Lonchura striata: one gene and its partner. The protein of the gene in region 2 interacts with the protein of the main gene of each other region in a pairwise test. Links are inferred from orthologs where the notes say so. Each region holds a gene or a part of one and is shown on either strand. Other genes may lie near its edges.

What was found. The genes of interacting proteins can lie anywhere in the genome.
Region 1: the proteins of STUB1 (region 2) and OLFM3 interact in binary tests that used the Homo sapiens proteins (3 or more experiments, as listed by UniProt). The two-hybrid records come from large-scale screens. The link is inferred for Lonchura striata from reciprocal best matches to the Homo sapiens genes STUB1 and OLFM3.

Annotation. Positions count from the first base shown.
Region 1 is NC_134611.1:23,251,670-23,258,913, forward strand, and holds the start of OLFM3 (noelin-3), read right to left. Parts: upstream 3,009-7,244; coding exon 2,873-3,008; coding exon of another isoform or gene 2,863-2,872; intron 1,475-2,862; coding exon of another isoform or gene 1,468-1,474; intron 1-1,467.
Region 2 is NC_134618.1:3,128,801-3,136,143, forward strand, and holds the start of STUB1 (E3 ubiquitin-protein ligase CHIP), read right to left. Parts: upstream 3,003-7,343; 5' UTR 2,937-3,002; coding exon 2,751-2,936; intron 1,852-2,750; coding exon 1,653-1,851; intron 1,552-1,652; coding exon 1,386-1,551; intron 1,250-1,385; coding exon 1,159-1,249; intron 652-1,158; coding exon 595-651; intron 479-594; coding exon 362-478; intron 10-361; coding exon 1-9. Other genes in the region: RHBDL1 (rhomboid-related protein 1), read right to left, coding at 4,700-4,971, 5,046-5,106, 5,803-5,903, 6,146-6,258, 6,339-6,487, 7,054-7,278. UniProt on the Homo sapiens protein: E3 ubiquitin-protein ligase which targets misfolded chaperone substrates towards proteasomal degradation.

The sequences.
Region 1 (7,244 bases), on a different chromosome or scaffold from region 2:
GATGAGAATGGTATTCTGCTTGTGATTCAGCACAAAACAGCTGATTTAATTCTTTGCAAAGGGAAGTTACAGTTTTTCAGCAGCAGAGAACAAACGTGTCCTTTCAGCCTGGATGACTTTTACTTTAGACTAATGGAAACAACAAAGACAGGAAAGAACAAACATAGAGCCTGGGGAGAGCACAGTGTGTGACTCACGGGTGGCAAGTGGCTCAGCAGCAGTTTGGATGTGGGGGACTGGTGTGCTCTTGAAGCTGCAGCTCTCAGGAACTGTTCTCCCTGGGCTTCCACTGCAGTAGCCAAGGGAACCAGGGGCTTGCTCAGGGTGGGATGGAAAAGTGTCTGCTTAGGCCAGGGGAATGGGGCTCATGGCAAGCAAGCCACAGGGCCATTAAGACACTGCATGTCCTTCACTGGGATAGCAAAAAACTGGAAATTCATAATCTGTTCTTTTTTACAGCAACCACAACTGAGAAAGAAAGGCAAAAAAAAAAAAAAATCACATTTGTTTGCAGAGCAGGGTAACACTTTTTTGGTATCCCTTTAATGGGATGTACAAAAATAGTGTAGGAATGACAGAAAACAATATAATGACATGACTGAAAGCATTCAAGTGATGGAACTTAATAGGTAAAAGAAACAGTTTTTGAACTTCCCTTTTAAACTAAACTGTAATTTAAAGTTAATATTGTGCTTTATTCTTTTCTAATATTGCATTGAGTGATGAATTTCATGGTACAGATGCTAATGGATATAACTGAAGTAATTTTGGTCTGGACACAGTTGGAATCTGTTGCTATTTATATTATAAAATTGTACTCAGTGCCAGCAGAGAAAGTGATTATTTAAACTGGGAAGCTTTGATATTGATGCCTTCCTGGCAGCTTAGTGGAGGAGTTGCAGAGTTCCTCATCTCTAAAGTGGTGCCAGTATCTTTGTGGACTCAGGTAAGAAAAGAACACAGGCTTTTCACAACAGTGACTCCTCTGAAGAAGTAATTGAAGATGGTTTGTCTTGCAGTTTCAACCCTGGTACTGAAACAGAGCTCAAAAGAGGAGACCCTTTATCTGACTCCACATGCTTCTACAATTCTTCCAGCTGAAGGGAGGAAATTGGGAGGTTTTTTTCTTTCTTTTACATTGCACAATATACACAATTTGTGAGCTGTGTATGTGCTAAGAGAGAAATTCTAGAGAAGTGCTCCTGCTGCAAAGTTCACTAGAGAAGCTGCAAGTGGGGAACTCTGGATGGCAGCCAAAAATCAGTCAGCAATGACCCTGCTATTACTGAGCACTTGGGGCATAAAGTCTTTTAACCAACATCTACAGTTTTAAGAAAGGTACCAGATTCGTGGTGCTCAGTTTTGTGTAAAAAGAATTCTACATGACTAAAATTCATGTTTTCTTTATTTGGCAGATGTTGCCAAGCTCAGATAATCAAGATTTTATGATCACTTTCCCAGCTCTACTGGAACTCTTGCTACCCTTATCAAAACAAAAAATATGCATATAGCTCAACTCGATGAGTGAAAAGAGCATTCTTGAAATAATATTTAGAAGGCATTTCCATCAGCAGTGCCCTGTTGTAGCCAAGGGCTCCATGACACTTTGTACTACTTGGAATCTGAACATATCAGTACAAACACATGTATTTGTGTTTGTGTATAAATATATATATATATATATCAATATCATAAAAACTAGTGTGCATCTTGTAGTTACTCAGTTGCCACTTTAAACTTGGATGTAAATGTGATAGGGAACTTCTACTTACAATATACAGCTACAAGAACTAGCAATATATACTGTGACTCAGTAAGGAAAATAAAATAGAGCTTTTCTTTGTATTCTCATCTTGCTGCTCTAAAAGATAACTGAATTTTTCTTACAACATAATTAATTTTAAAGTAGTAATATTTATATACTAAATACAGTGATTTTCTACAATAGTACTTTTCCTGCACGCATATATTAAATTATTCCATCTTGATTAGTAAATGCATAATTTTTAGTTACAAAATTCTGAGTTTTGAGAATTGTGAGCTACTACAGTTACATTTATATTTTACATAACCTACTATTATGTAAACATCTGATTGCAGTCACACAAAAAGTTACATTGACAAGAGTGTTTTACTAAGCATTTAGGAAAATTATGTTCTAATATAACTTATGGATACCAGGATAGTGTTCCCTCTAAAGTAAAAAGTTACTTGACTGTTTCGGCTTCTCATGAGTTCATAGCTATTCACAGCTTTCCTGTAGGTTTTTATTAACTGAGGCTGCTGTATATGAATGTTAATGTTACAAAGTGATATTTCTGTAATTTGTGTTATTCCCATTATCACCCTTTCAAAAATTCTGGTATCTAGCCCCCTAGTACCAATTTTATTTTGTTTCTAACAGCTATTTATTTGTTTAACTGTATTCCAATAAAGAAAAATAGGAAAGAATCAGACACTTTGCATATTGTAGTGAATAGTTACTAGGTAACATTATCAAATTTTCAAAAATAAAGGTACTGCCAGATATAATTTTCTAAACAACACAATGCATTTTTCTGGAGCATTAAAGATAGGAAGAACAGTCTAGACAAATGAAAAGACATTGCTTTACTCTTTTTAGCATTTCATGTTCAAGATGAAGGCATTTGTTCTTACATATTTAAGGATACTATTTCAAAACCTTCCCTTTCATTGTAAGACCACAACATGCTCACCTGCAGTTTTATGATGCCCAAAAAGAAGCATGCATTAAGAGATGATAGGAAGATTAGTAGCTAAAAAAGAGATTTACAAAGAGACAACAAACTAATGCTTTTGCTGGCACTTAAATACTAATTCAGCATTAAGATAGCTTGCGACATATAACAGCTACTTACTAGAGTATCTGAAGTGGTTATTCTGGTGGTATTTAGTCCTACCAGAGAAGGGAGAGTTTGGGACATCCAGTTAGAGATCATTGCCATGGTACTAAGAACAGCACCAAGCTTCAGCAGTGGAGGGCTCATTGCTGTGGAGCTAATGAGTTTTCATAGTGAGTGATTATCATCCCAGTGCAGGCTGGCAGCGAGAGGCGTGACTGCAGCACACAACATCCACAGCATGAAAGGAGATCAAGCTACCCAGATTTAGTCATCCATTAAAAACATCCATATCCTCATCTGCCCTCTTTCTGCTCTTACTAACAAATACTTATGACTGTCTTATGCTGACCACGAAATAAACAATCCTTTCTATGCTAATAGTCATTGCAGTTTCCAGTGGGAGATGGCATGGGTGAGTTATCCCTTTATAGGTGCTAGACAGTCAATTAGCCCTTAATTAGTTCAGTCCAGGCAGAGCAGTGTCTTCCTGTCTGAAATGCAAAAGCCTGAGCACAAATAACCCCCCCACTTTCCATCAGTGCTTCGGCAGAAATATGCTCAAGCCTGTTAGTAAATATGGTTCTGTACTTGTCCATGGGGAAGCAGAACTGTCAGCCTGCTCACCAAAGGGCCAGACACCTTTCTGGACCTCCTGGATTTGCTGATCTCTCATAAATTACAACATCAGAGACTTTTTTATTTGCACAGCTTGTTATTAAGATCTTTATTGTTCATAAAAAACCATTGAGGTGGTGAAGAGTCACATTTCTCAGTGTTCTTGTTAGTTTACAAGTTTTTGTACCAAGAATTATCGCATCACTCCCAGGGTTGGCAGACTCACTATGTCTTCATTGCTACTTGGATGAGAACAGAAGATAAATTGGGGATTGAACATTTTGGGACTTCTTTTGGCTTTGCTGTTAAATCTACTGCTCCCTAGTAGAATGAGCTGCAGGTTCTGTAGCGATTTATCTTGCTCATATATTGAGTGTAGGGGGGAGAGAAGCAGAAAAAACAGTCTAGAAATCATTGTGCCATAGGGGCAGCTTTACTTTTTAAGAATTATTTGTAAAAGAAGTGCTGAGCGAGGATTTCTAATGGCAGTTATTTAAGAGAAAACTTGCATAAAGTTTGCTGAGAGACAGGCTACTGCATTTTCCCCAGGGCAGTTATGGACTTAGTTTCTGGAGTTGCCTTGGCAAAGCAAATTACTTTTTCTTAAGGACTTCTGGCAGTGCTACGAAGGAACCCTGTGCGCAGTGAAACTGAAGGGATGTATATTTATGGGTGTTTGTCAACATGGAAGTATTTATTAAAGCCACTGTAACTCTGCAAACAGTTTTTCAGATTGTCAGGGCCTGTGCACCAATTCAGGCTAGACATTTCTCTTTCAATATCCATTCAGAATGATTTCTGTAAATATCTGCAGTTTAAGGAAGACACATGTCAACTTATTTCTTAAAAAAGAAATAGAAAAACCCATTGAGAGCTATTATATAAACTTAAGGAATCACCTAGCAACAGAATATAGAAAATCTGTGTATCCAGGTATTAAATATTTTGTGGTAGTTACATAGTAATGTGATCTGTGAAATGTTTTATATACTCAAAAAATTAATTCACTGAAGAGATCTGAATACAATGAAACACACTGAAATACATTGTTGCTAGAAGTTGTGCATAGATGGCAAATTTGAGAAAGGCTATGTGATCACAGCTGTTTTACTCAGAGTATTTTCTGTATTTCAGGAGATAAAGTTCATATAAGCTTGGATTACCTGATCATGGTCATTATGTACATTTCTCTGTAGAGAGTCCCTGTGGTCCATTCTTGATATGGTGATTTTGAGACTGAAAGCTGAGTCAGGCCTTGCCTCAGCCTGATGAAGGGCTTAGTGGGTGGAGGCATTTGAGCCTTTCCCTGAGCCAGTGTTTCTGTGGAAAGGGTCTCAAAGCTGTTCCCTGAACATGTGTGCAAACTGAACTGTCCTGACATCAGAAGTGAGCCTTTTTGCTGAACTGTCATTTGATAATGTTGGATAATTTTCCAGTTTTATTAGATTCTTCTGAAGTGTCTCAGCATCCTATCTAGACCTAATACAAAAAAAGATTCTAATTCATCTGTTTTATCACCTTTTTCTATTCCTGTCCTCTTTTAGAAGTTTAATAAGCACACTAATTCCCTTGGTTCCAAGACATTACCTGAATGTAATGACAGAATTTTGTTTTACCACACTGAATTGCAGCTTTTGGCATTTTTGGTTTTCTTCTCTTCTACATGTGCTGTTTCACAGAAGAATGTAATTGGTCTCCTCCTGAATTTTAACATCGGACAAAATACATTCAAAAGGCAATAAAAGAGTTTTCTGATGCCCAGATTAAAAACTACTGCTGGTCATCTTTTATGTAGGTATTGTCACCTCCTGGAAAGAATGCTGTTTGTTATTTTGATTATTCCTAACAGATGATATGCTCCTTTGTTCTTGTGACAGAATATTCATTAATGCAGTTATGCAGTTTAGCACTTTATTTTCTTCCAACTGGTTTAACTGCAGAAGAGAAAGCTTGCTGCCATGTGAATCCCAGTACTGCTGCTGGACACATCTTTACAGAGCTCAGCAGGAGGTGATCCTCTAGTTCCCTTGCTGGTTATATAATTTAACATTACCAGAGCTCTGGCATCCCTTTGGTGCTGAAGCCAGATCTGCTGTAGCTGCACAGGGGCTTTAAAGCCCCTCTGTGCTGCAGTGCAGGGATGGGGGCAGCTTCTACAAGTGTTTGGGAGCCTGGGGGCTGCAGGAGTGAGCTCACCTGAGCTGGAAACCTTTTCTGGCAGGGCTGCAAATACCTGGCAGCTGCAAAGGTAATGCCAGCCCAGGGGTGCTTACACAGACAGGGTAAGCACCTGCTCCCTGGGACTGTCATTATTCTGTGTATTCGATATTTTTATGTACCCATTTGTCAAGTATTGCTTCAGAGCACTATTGCTATAGATGATGTGCATGGGAACACAGTCTTAAAAAGGCTTCCTTCCTGAACAGTGGACATTCTCAATGAAATTATATTTTGTTTCTGTTTTTGCCAAACTGTATAAGTGTTTTAACCCCCTTTTTGTTAAAGAAATTGTGTTAAAAAATTTTTAGCTGTATTTTACAATAAATAATTGTGTAAATTAAAAAATGGCAAGCAAAGAGTAGAACATTTTTCTACATCTGAGGTCAAATATACAAAGATCGTACCTGAAGACACAGAATAACTGAAGAGTTATTCTCATATTGTTAGGAAGTAGAAAAAAAACTTTATGATCTGTTTCATTTCAGCTCTGTATTTTTTGTTTTGTTGGTTTTTATTTTAAAGCTGCAATTTCACATTTCTAGTTTATGATTAACTGCTCTGAATAAAGCTAGAATGCAACAGCAATTCTAAAATTTGAACAATATTCTTTATTTCCCTAAATACTTGCTAGTATAACTTCCTGTTTTAGTTAACTTTGTCTAAAGTCAGTAGAAGCTGAAGCATCCATACAGAATAACTTCAGATGCCATATTTTGATCTTACATAAAAGTCTATCAGTCTGTAGCAATTTCAATGTTGTTAACATTATTGTATGCTAGTCCTGTAATATTCAATTACTGTATTACAAATTACTAGGGTCATTAAAGGTATTATTTAAGACCCTTATTTAATAAATAGTCTAAAGGCTCTTCTAGTCTTTGATATTTACTTTCACTTTGAGATCCTGTTACATTTTGATAGGGATTAAGTCTACTGAAAATGATAATACATCCCAACATTATCTTATTACAACCGAGGCAGTAGGACCTGTGTGCTGTAAAAAGTAATTAACGTCAGTATTAGGAACGGCAACAGAGCAAATGTCCTGAGTCAGCAACAGGTGAAAATATACCCAGCCACCCACCCAAAAACTAATTACCTCCTGGCCAGAGGAAAGCATTGATTGTAAGAAAGAGGAAATTGTGAAGTTCCCTCGCAACCACTTAACCCTCATGTTAGTGTATTTAATATATATAAAAAACAGTGCTACCTTAAAAATTTGTTACAATTCAAAATTGTGTTCATGGGTAAATGCTATTGTGTAAACACTTGAAACCTGAAGTTTGATGTTGAAGTGATTGCACACTCATGGCTCACCCAGCTTAACTACATTCCTTTGAAGCAGAGCAAAATCAGGAATCCTAAATCTCAGTAAGTTTGGACTTTGACAGGTTAGGTTTAGAAAGTAAGCTCAAGAAGAAAGGCCAAAGCTTCCCTCATTGCACTGTTCTATAGTGTATTTAGTTCTTTATCTTCATGTGATGTATTGTGTAAGTAGTACATTGGTTCAAAAAATGGCAGTTCATTAGTTATGTTCCTGAGCAT
Region 2 (7,343 bases):
CCCCACGCGCTGCGGGGAGGAGCGCGGGGAAACCGGTTACTCCACGTGCCCGCGCTCAGCCCCGAGGCGCAGGCGGCGTGAGGCCAGCGCCGCGTGGCATCTGCCCTGGCACCCGGGCACCTGCCCGCAGGAAGAGGGAGAGCCCCTCAGAGGTGCCTCCCAGCAGGATGAGGGCAGGTCAAGGTGTGAGACCCCCGCCAAGAGCCGCCTCCGCTTTGGGCAGGGCCTGGCAGCACCTGCTCCACAGGGAGCTGCCCGGGCAGGTAACTGGGACCAAACCCAAGGAGCCTGTGGAGCCCCGAGTTCAGCAAAAATATGCCTTCCCACCCAGGCAAGGTCCTGGGAAAGCCCCCTGCAGTACCTGGAGATGCTCCTCAATGTCCTTCCTGTCGTAGGTGATCCCGCTGGGCGTGATGCAGGGCTCTCTCATCAGCTCAAAACTGATCTTCCCACACAGGTAGTCAGGGATGTCCCGCTTCTGTCTCGAGAGAGGCACAGCTGGGTCAGGAAAGGGGGCTGGGAGGTGGTGCTGGCTCAGAGCGGGGAGCAGGGTACACAGAAGGTTTACAGGAGCACAGGCTGGGCCACACTCACCTTCCTCTTCTCGTCCACTTGGGAGAAGAGCTCGTCCATGTCTGCCAGGTATTTGTCCTGAAAGAGAAGCTCTTGAGGACAAGGGGTCCCTGGTGTGCAGGGGCTACAGGACCCCAGGGAGAGCCCCAAAGCCTCCCATCATGGGTGCTGTGGCCGGTCCTTGGTGCCCCCTCTGCCTGTGCAGCTCCTGGCTGAAGCTGGCAGGAGCAATCCAGCTTACAAATAACCTTCCTTTGTGGGCCTATTTTTATCTGGGATTAGTCCCCAGCACCCAGACCCACATGTGGCTGAGAGCCACTTGTGTTTCCTCAGGGAACAACAGGCACAGCAGGTGTCACCGCTGCCAGGCTGGGACAAGAGGTGGCAGAGCAGGGGAAGCCATCATGGGGGGACACAACAGGCCTGCAGTGGTGGCTCGAGCTACAGAATGAAGGCTACGGTCCCAAGGTCTCCCAGCTTTCACCTGCACAGCTGCAGCCCTGCCGCTTCCCTGGGTGCAGCAGAGCCTGAGGACAAGGATGGGGACGAGGATGGGGACGGGGAAGCCCCCAGCCCCCCACTCACGTGTTTGGCCTCGATGCTGGCCAGCTGAACACGGCTCCGGCTCTCGTCTGTGTTTTCCTCCTGCTGAGTCTTTCGGCACTCCGCCAGCTCCCTAGGACAGAGTGGGACATCAGGAGGATGGGGAACACTGGCACTCCCTTCCCTGCTGCAGGGCTCTGCAGAGACACCTCACACAGAGCAGTGACAGCCTGGTGGCACTCAAAAAGCTTCTCCAGGTGCCCCGTTACCTCTCCTTCTCGGCCACGATCAGCTTGGTGAGGTGGGAGTGCAGCTCGTTCTCCTGGTTGATGCGCTTCTCCTCAATGCTGTTCCAGCGCTTCTTCTTGGCGATGCGCAGCGCACTGGGGATGTCATCCCCGAAATTCAGCCGCTGCTCCTTGGCGAGGTTGTAGGCTGAGGAGAGAAAGGGCACCCCAGCGCCAGCGTCCCTGTCGCCCTCCCTGGCCCTTTCCCAGCCGACAGGAGCAGGGGACAGTGGCAGCGTGCCCGCTCACCTCTCTGCAGGTTGGCGATGGCCTCGTCGTAGTTTTCCATCTCCATCTGGCACTGGCCCAGGAAGAAGTGAGCCTTCACGGACTGCCCGTCCAGCTCCAGCGCCCGCTTGCAGTCGGCCAGCGCCTTGTCGTGCTGCTGCATCTTCAGGTAGCACAGGGCCCGGTTGGTGTAGTACACGGCCACCAAGGGGTTCCGGTTCTGCAGGGACAGGCCCATGTCGGTGCCGGCGGCAGGGCCGGGACGTGCTGGTGACAGCCCGGTGACTCGGTGAGCCAGCGGCACGGCGCCGTCACCCTGGGCAGGGAGAGCCAGCAGTGCCAGCCAGGGTGTGCACCCCGTGGGGAGGTGCTGGCATGGATTGGGGACGGGCTGGGGCCGGTCCCCATAGGGCAGCCCATGGCCCAGCCCCCACAGGGGACTGTCCCCCAGACACCTCGACTGTCCCAGGCTGGGTCTGCCCTACCCAGCACAGCCCAGGGACAGTGCGGGGCTTGGGGAAACAGGCTCAGGGGGTGCAGGGCAGGCCAGCTTGGAGTGGGGTGGGGAGAGGATGGGCTGGGGGTGTCCAAGTCCAGAGAGCGGGCCAGGGTCGGGGGGTGCCTAGGCCAGGCCTAGGGGTGGTAGTCCAGGCCCAGGAATGGGGGGAAGCAGGCCCAGAGCTGTGTCCAGCCCTCCCCAGGAGGAGCCAGGCTCAGGGAGGGAACAGTGTCCAGATTAAAAGGTCCCATGTCAGGGGTGTCTTGGCCAGGCCCTGAGGAAGAACAGCGCCCAGCCCGAGGAGGTTCCATCCTGGTGATGCCCAGGCCAGGGCCCGGGAGATGTCCAGGCAGGGGGGAGGCAGGATGGATGTCCCATCTTGCGGGAGTCACGGCCCGGTGTGTGGGGGCTGTCCCATCCCTGGGGACCCCACCCAGCGCTGGCCAGGCCAGCTCCGGGCGGGTGTCCAGGCCAGGGGGGAGGTTCCAGCCCGGGGCCATCGAGGCCAGGGGGGAGGTTGGTGTGTCCCGTCCCGGGGTACCCAGGCCGGGGCGTCCCCTCCCCGGAGCTCCCGTGGCGGGGCCGGTCCCGCTGGGGCCGGGGGCGCCGCCGGGACTCACGATGGCGCGGCCGTAGCAGGCGGCGGCCTCGGGGTACTTGCGGCCGCCGAAGAGCCGGTTCCCCTGCTCCTTGTGCTCCTGCGCGCTGTGGCTCTTCTCGGGGCTGCCGCCACCCGCGCCCCCCGCGCCCGGCCCCGCCGCGCCGGGCCCCGCCGCGCCGCCCTCGCGCTCCTCCTTGCCCTTCATGGCGCGGCCCGGGCCGGCGCTGGGGCCGCGGCTCCGCTGGCTCGGCGGCCCCGGCGGCTCCGCTGGCTCGGCGGCCTCGGCAGCCCCGGCAGCCCCGGCGGCTCCGGCTCCGCCGCGCACTGCGACAGCGCCGCTTCCGGGGCGGGGCGGGGCGGGGCCTCGGCAGGACGGGACGGTGCCCGGTGGGCGGGGCTAACGGCAAGGGGCGGGGATATGCATATGAGGGGCGTGGCCAGCCCGGCGGATTGGGCGGGGCGCCCGCGGTGGGCGGGGCTAAAGACAGATTGGCGGGGGCGTGGTCAGTGCCGGGTGGGCGTGGCCTGGGTGTGGATTATGGGATTGAATAGGGGATGGTGGATGGAGGGCATTGGGGTGTGGTTTGTGGGTTTATGGACTTTAATGGGGTTTGTGGGGTTTGAGGGGTTTGATGGGGTTTGTGGGGTTTATGGGGTTTGATGGGGTTTGATGGGATTTGATGGGGTTTGTGGGGTTTATGGGGTTTGATGGGGTTTGATGGGATTTGATGGGGTTTGTGGGGTTTACGGGGTTTGATGGGGTTTGATGGGGTTTATGCGGTTTGTGGGGTTTATGGGGTTTGATGGGGTTTGATAGGGTTTGTGGGGTTTATGGGGTTTGATGGGGTTGATGGTGTTTATGGGTTTATGGGGTTTGTGGGGTTTGATAGGGATTGTGGGGTTTATGGGGTTTGTGGGGTCTGTGGGGTTTGATGGGGTTTGATGGGGTTGATGGTGTTTATGGGTTTATGGGGTTTGATGGGAGGGGGGCGTACAGAGTAGTGCAGGATGGATGAGGGGCCTGGCTGGAGGGGATGGGGGTGAATGAAAAGGGGGATGGGGGAGGCGGCACGGAGCTGATGGGGGGTGGGTGTGAGTAGGGGGTTGGGGGTTTGGGGGTGTGAGTGGGGCGGGTCCGGCGCCTGCAGCCAGCGCTGTGTGCGCTGCAGCGGGGGGTGCAGGGAGCGGGGTGGTCTGCAGACCCCCCCTCACCCCCGCGCCCCAGCCCCGCGGGGCCCGGCCCGGCGCCGCTCCACTGATCCCGGAGTTTTCTGCTCCAGTAATTCCCGAGCCCGGCTGAGCCCCCGCCCCGCCGCCCATCGGGGATGGGGGCACCCCCAAACCCCCGCCCCCGACAGAGACACGAGCCCCCGCAGTGTGCAAAATATTTATTTATACTTCAAAAAGGTCTGGGGGGGGTTAGAGCGGGGACCCCCCGCGCCCCCATCCCGAGCCAGGCCCCCGTGCCGGGGGTCAGCAAAGCGGGCCCGGGGCGCGGGGAGGGGGGCTGTGCCTCCGAGGGCACTGCCAAAATGATTGTGCCGGTCTCAGCCGATTCCTGCCGGGCTCTCCCCGTATCCTTCTTTTTATTCTTTTTTATTATTATTATTATTATTATTCCTCTTTCTTTTATTTATATTTATTTTGGCATAGAAAAATAAATGGCTCCTCTTTTGGCACCAGTCCTTCGTGTGCAAGTGCAGGTCCTGGAAAGGGGGTCCGGGAGCCGGCGGGGGTCCCCGGGCCCGGCTCCTTCCCGAGGGGCGGCGGCGCCGGGGCGGGGCCGGAGCTTCCCCTGGGGCCGGGCACAGCGGGGGCGGCGGGGACACCGGGGCGGGCGGCGCGCTCGCTAGCACCGAGGGGACGGGCGGCGGGGTGGCCTGTCCCCATGTCACGCGCGGGGACCCCCCAGCCCCTCCGCCGGGCTCGGCAAACAAACGAACCGCAGGGTCGGGGCGAGGGGGCGGGCTAGGGCGGGGGGGGGATCTGTGCCCCCAGCAGGTCGTAGGCGAAGATGTTCCAGAAGACGGCGAAGAGCAGGAAGGTGCCGTAGGACAGCAGCAGCACCCACCAGCCGCACTGGTCCTGCAGGCTCTCCTCGTAGCTGCGCAGGATGGTCAGCCCCATGCTGATGCCCACGATGGCCCCCGCCAGGTGCGCCATGAAGCTGGGCTGCGGCCCCGAGGCCGGCAGCGGCGGCGAGAAGCGGAGCCAGACGGCGCGGCCGACCTCGGAGCTCACTGCGGGACGGGCCGGAGCTGCTGAGCCCGCCCGGGGCCGCGCGGCCGGGGCCAGGGACGGGGGCGGTACTCACTGCACACCAGCGCCAGCACCATCCGCAGCAGCTTGTAGGGACAGCGCATCCCGGCCCAGTTCTGCGGGAACGGCAGCGAGGAGGGAGGGAGGGAGGGATGGATGGATGAAGGATGGATGGATGGATGGATGGATGGATGGATGGATGGATGGACAAGGGATGGATGGATGGATGATGGATGATGGATGGATGGATGGACAAGGGATGGATGGATGGATGATAGATGGATGGATGGATGGATGGATGATGGATGGATGGATGGATGGATGATGGATGATGGATGGATGGATGGATGGACAAGGGATGGATGGATGGATGATGGATGGATGGATGATGGATGATGGATGGATGGATGGATGGATGATGGATGGATGGATGGATGGATGGACGGATGATGGGCTGGCACAAGCAATGCTCCAGCACAGAGGTGGGGACTGCTGCCAGAGCCCCTGGAATGCCCCATGGAGCCCCCTCAGGTCCCTGCTCCTTCCCACCCACACCCACCCCATGTCTCCCAAGGTGGTCCCTCTGTGACAGTGCCACCCCTAATGCCACCCCACAGCATCCCCCACCAATGCTGCCCACCCACAGTGCCAGCCACCCCATGGCATCCCTCCATAATGTCCCACCACCATGCCCAACCTGCAGACAGCTCCCGTCCCCATTGTCACCCCATGGCATCCCCCACCGTGCTGCCCACCCTACAGAGTCATCCACCCCTGTCCCCCCTTCTGTGTCCCCTTGTCCCCTGGCTGACCATGACGACGTTGGCGAGGTGAGCAGAGCAGAGGGCGTAGACCCCCCCCGAGCCCCCGACCAGGGGGGCCCTCATGTCCGTGATGGAGACCGTGAGGGAGCCTGGGGGCACAGACAGGGCTCAGCACGGGGTCTCGCCCCCACAGCATTCATTAATTACTGTCTACATTAATTAATTACAGCCTGCATTGCCCCCCAGCCCCTGGCCGAGTGATGCTGGCACTGCAGGGTGGCAGCCAGCAGAGCCCAGCATCCCCACCAAACTCGGTGTGACCTCCCCGTGCCCCCCCGGGCTGGTGACAGGGACGGGGGGGATGGGGACAGTCCCCCCGGGGAGCACCCACCTGCCAGGACCCCGGCCAGGTAGAGGAAGCTGATGCGCAGGATGCCGTGCACCATCTCCAGGGGCACCCCGATCATCAGCTGCAGGAGGGCGTTGAACCCCAGCTGCTCCAGCCTGCCCGGGCACAGGAGGGGACAGGCTCAGCCTGCAGAGCCCCCGGGATGTCCCCAGCGTCCCCCCCCAGCGGGACCTACCCCACGTGCATGAACATGTAGGTGAGGAAGCGCCAGGCGCGCGCCCGGTGCCCGGGGTGATAGACCAGGGGGCTCTTCATGTACTCGGGGTGGTAGGTCTGCAGCACCCACTTGTTCAGCCGGGCCCCGTAGCACAGGAACACGATGATCTGTGACAAACCCCGTGGCTGTCACCCCCCTTCACCCCACATCTGAGCCCCACAAGGGCACCAGGATGTCACAGCTGGGGTCACCCATCCCCCCTGCCCCAGCTCTGAGTCCCACGCGTGGGCACAAGGAGGTCACAGACAGGGTCCTCACTCCCTTCGCCCCAGATGTGAGCCCCCCAAGGGCACCAGGACATCACAGCTGGGGTCACCCGTTCCTCCTACCCTGGATCTGAGCCCCTCCATGGGTCCCACCCATGAGCACAAGAACATCACCACTGGGGTCACCCATCCACCTCTGTCCCGGGTCTCAGCACCACCAAACGCACCAGGACATCACAGCGAGGGTCACCCAAACCTTCACCCCCTATCTGAGCCCCTCTGTGGGCACCAGAACATCACGACTGGGGCCCCCCAGCCCCACCGCCCCAGGTGTGGGCACAAAGCTGTCACCTGCAGGGTCACACATCCCTTCAGGTCAGCTCTGCGTGCACAGCAGCTCACAACCGTGCTGCCCGCCCCGGTCTGATCCCTGCCGAGGTCCCCGGGACCCTCCCGCCGTGCCGTACCTGGGTGAGGGTGACGGCTGCCATGAAGACGGGGGGCGGGCAGGTGCGGTGCTGGTAGAAGTACCAGCGCCGGTCCATCTCGCAGGGCAGGATCTCGTAGGCCACGTAGCGGACGAAGCGTTTGTAGATGCCGAGGCCGGTCTCGTCCAGCAGGACGTCGCGGGGCAGCGCCCGCTGCCCGTTGGCGATGGCGCGCTTGAAGCTGCTGGAGCGCTTGCTGCTCATCTGCGGGGAGAGACCGCGGGGGCAGCTCGGGACCGGCCTGGGGCCGCCCCCGGCCCGCCGCCCCC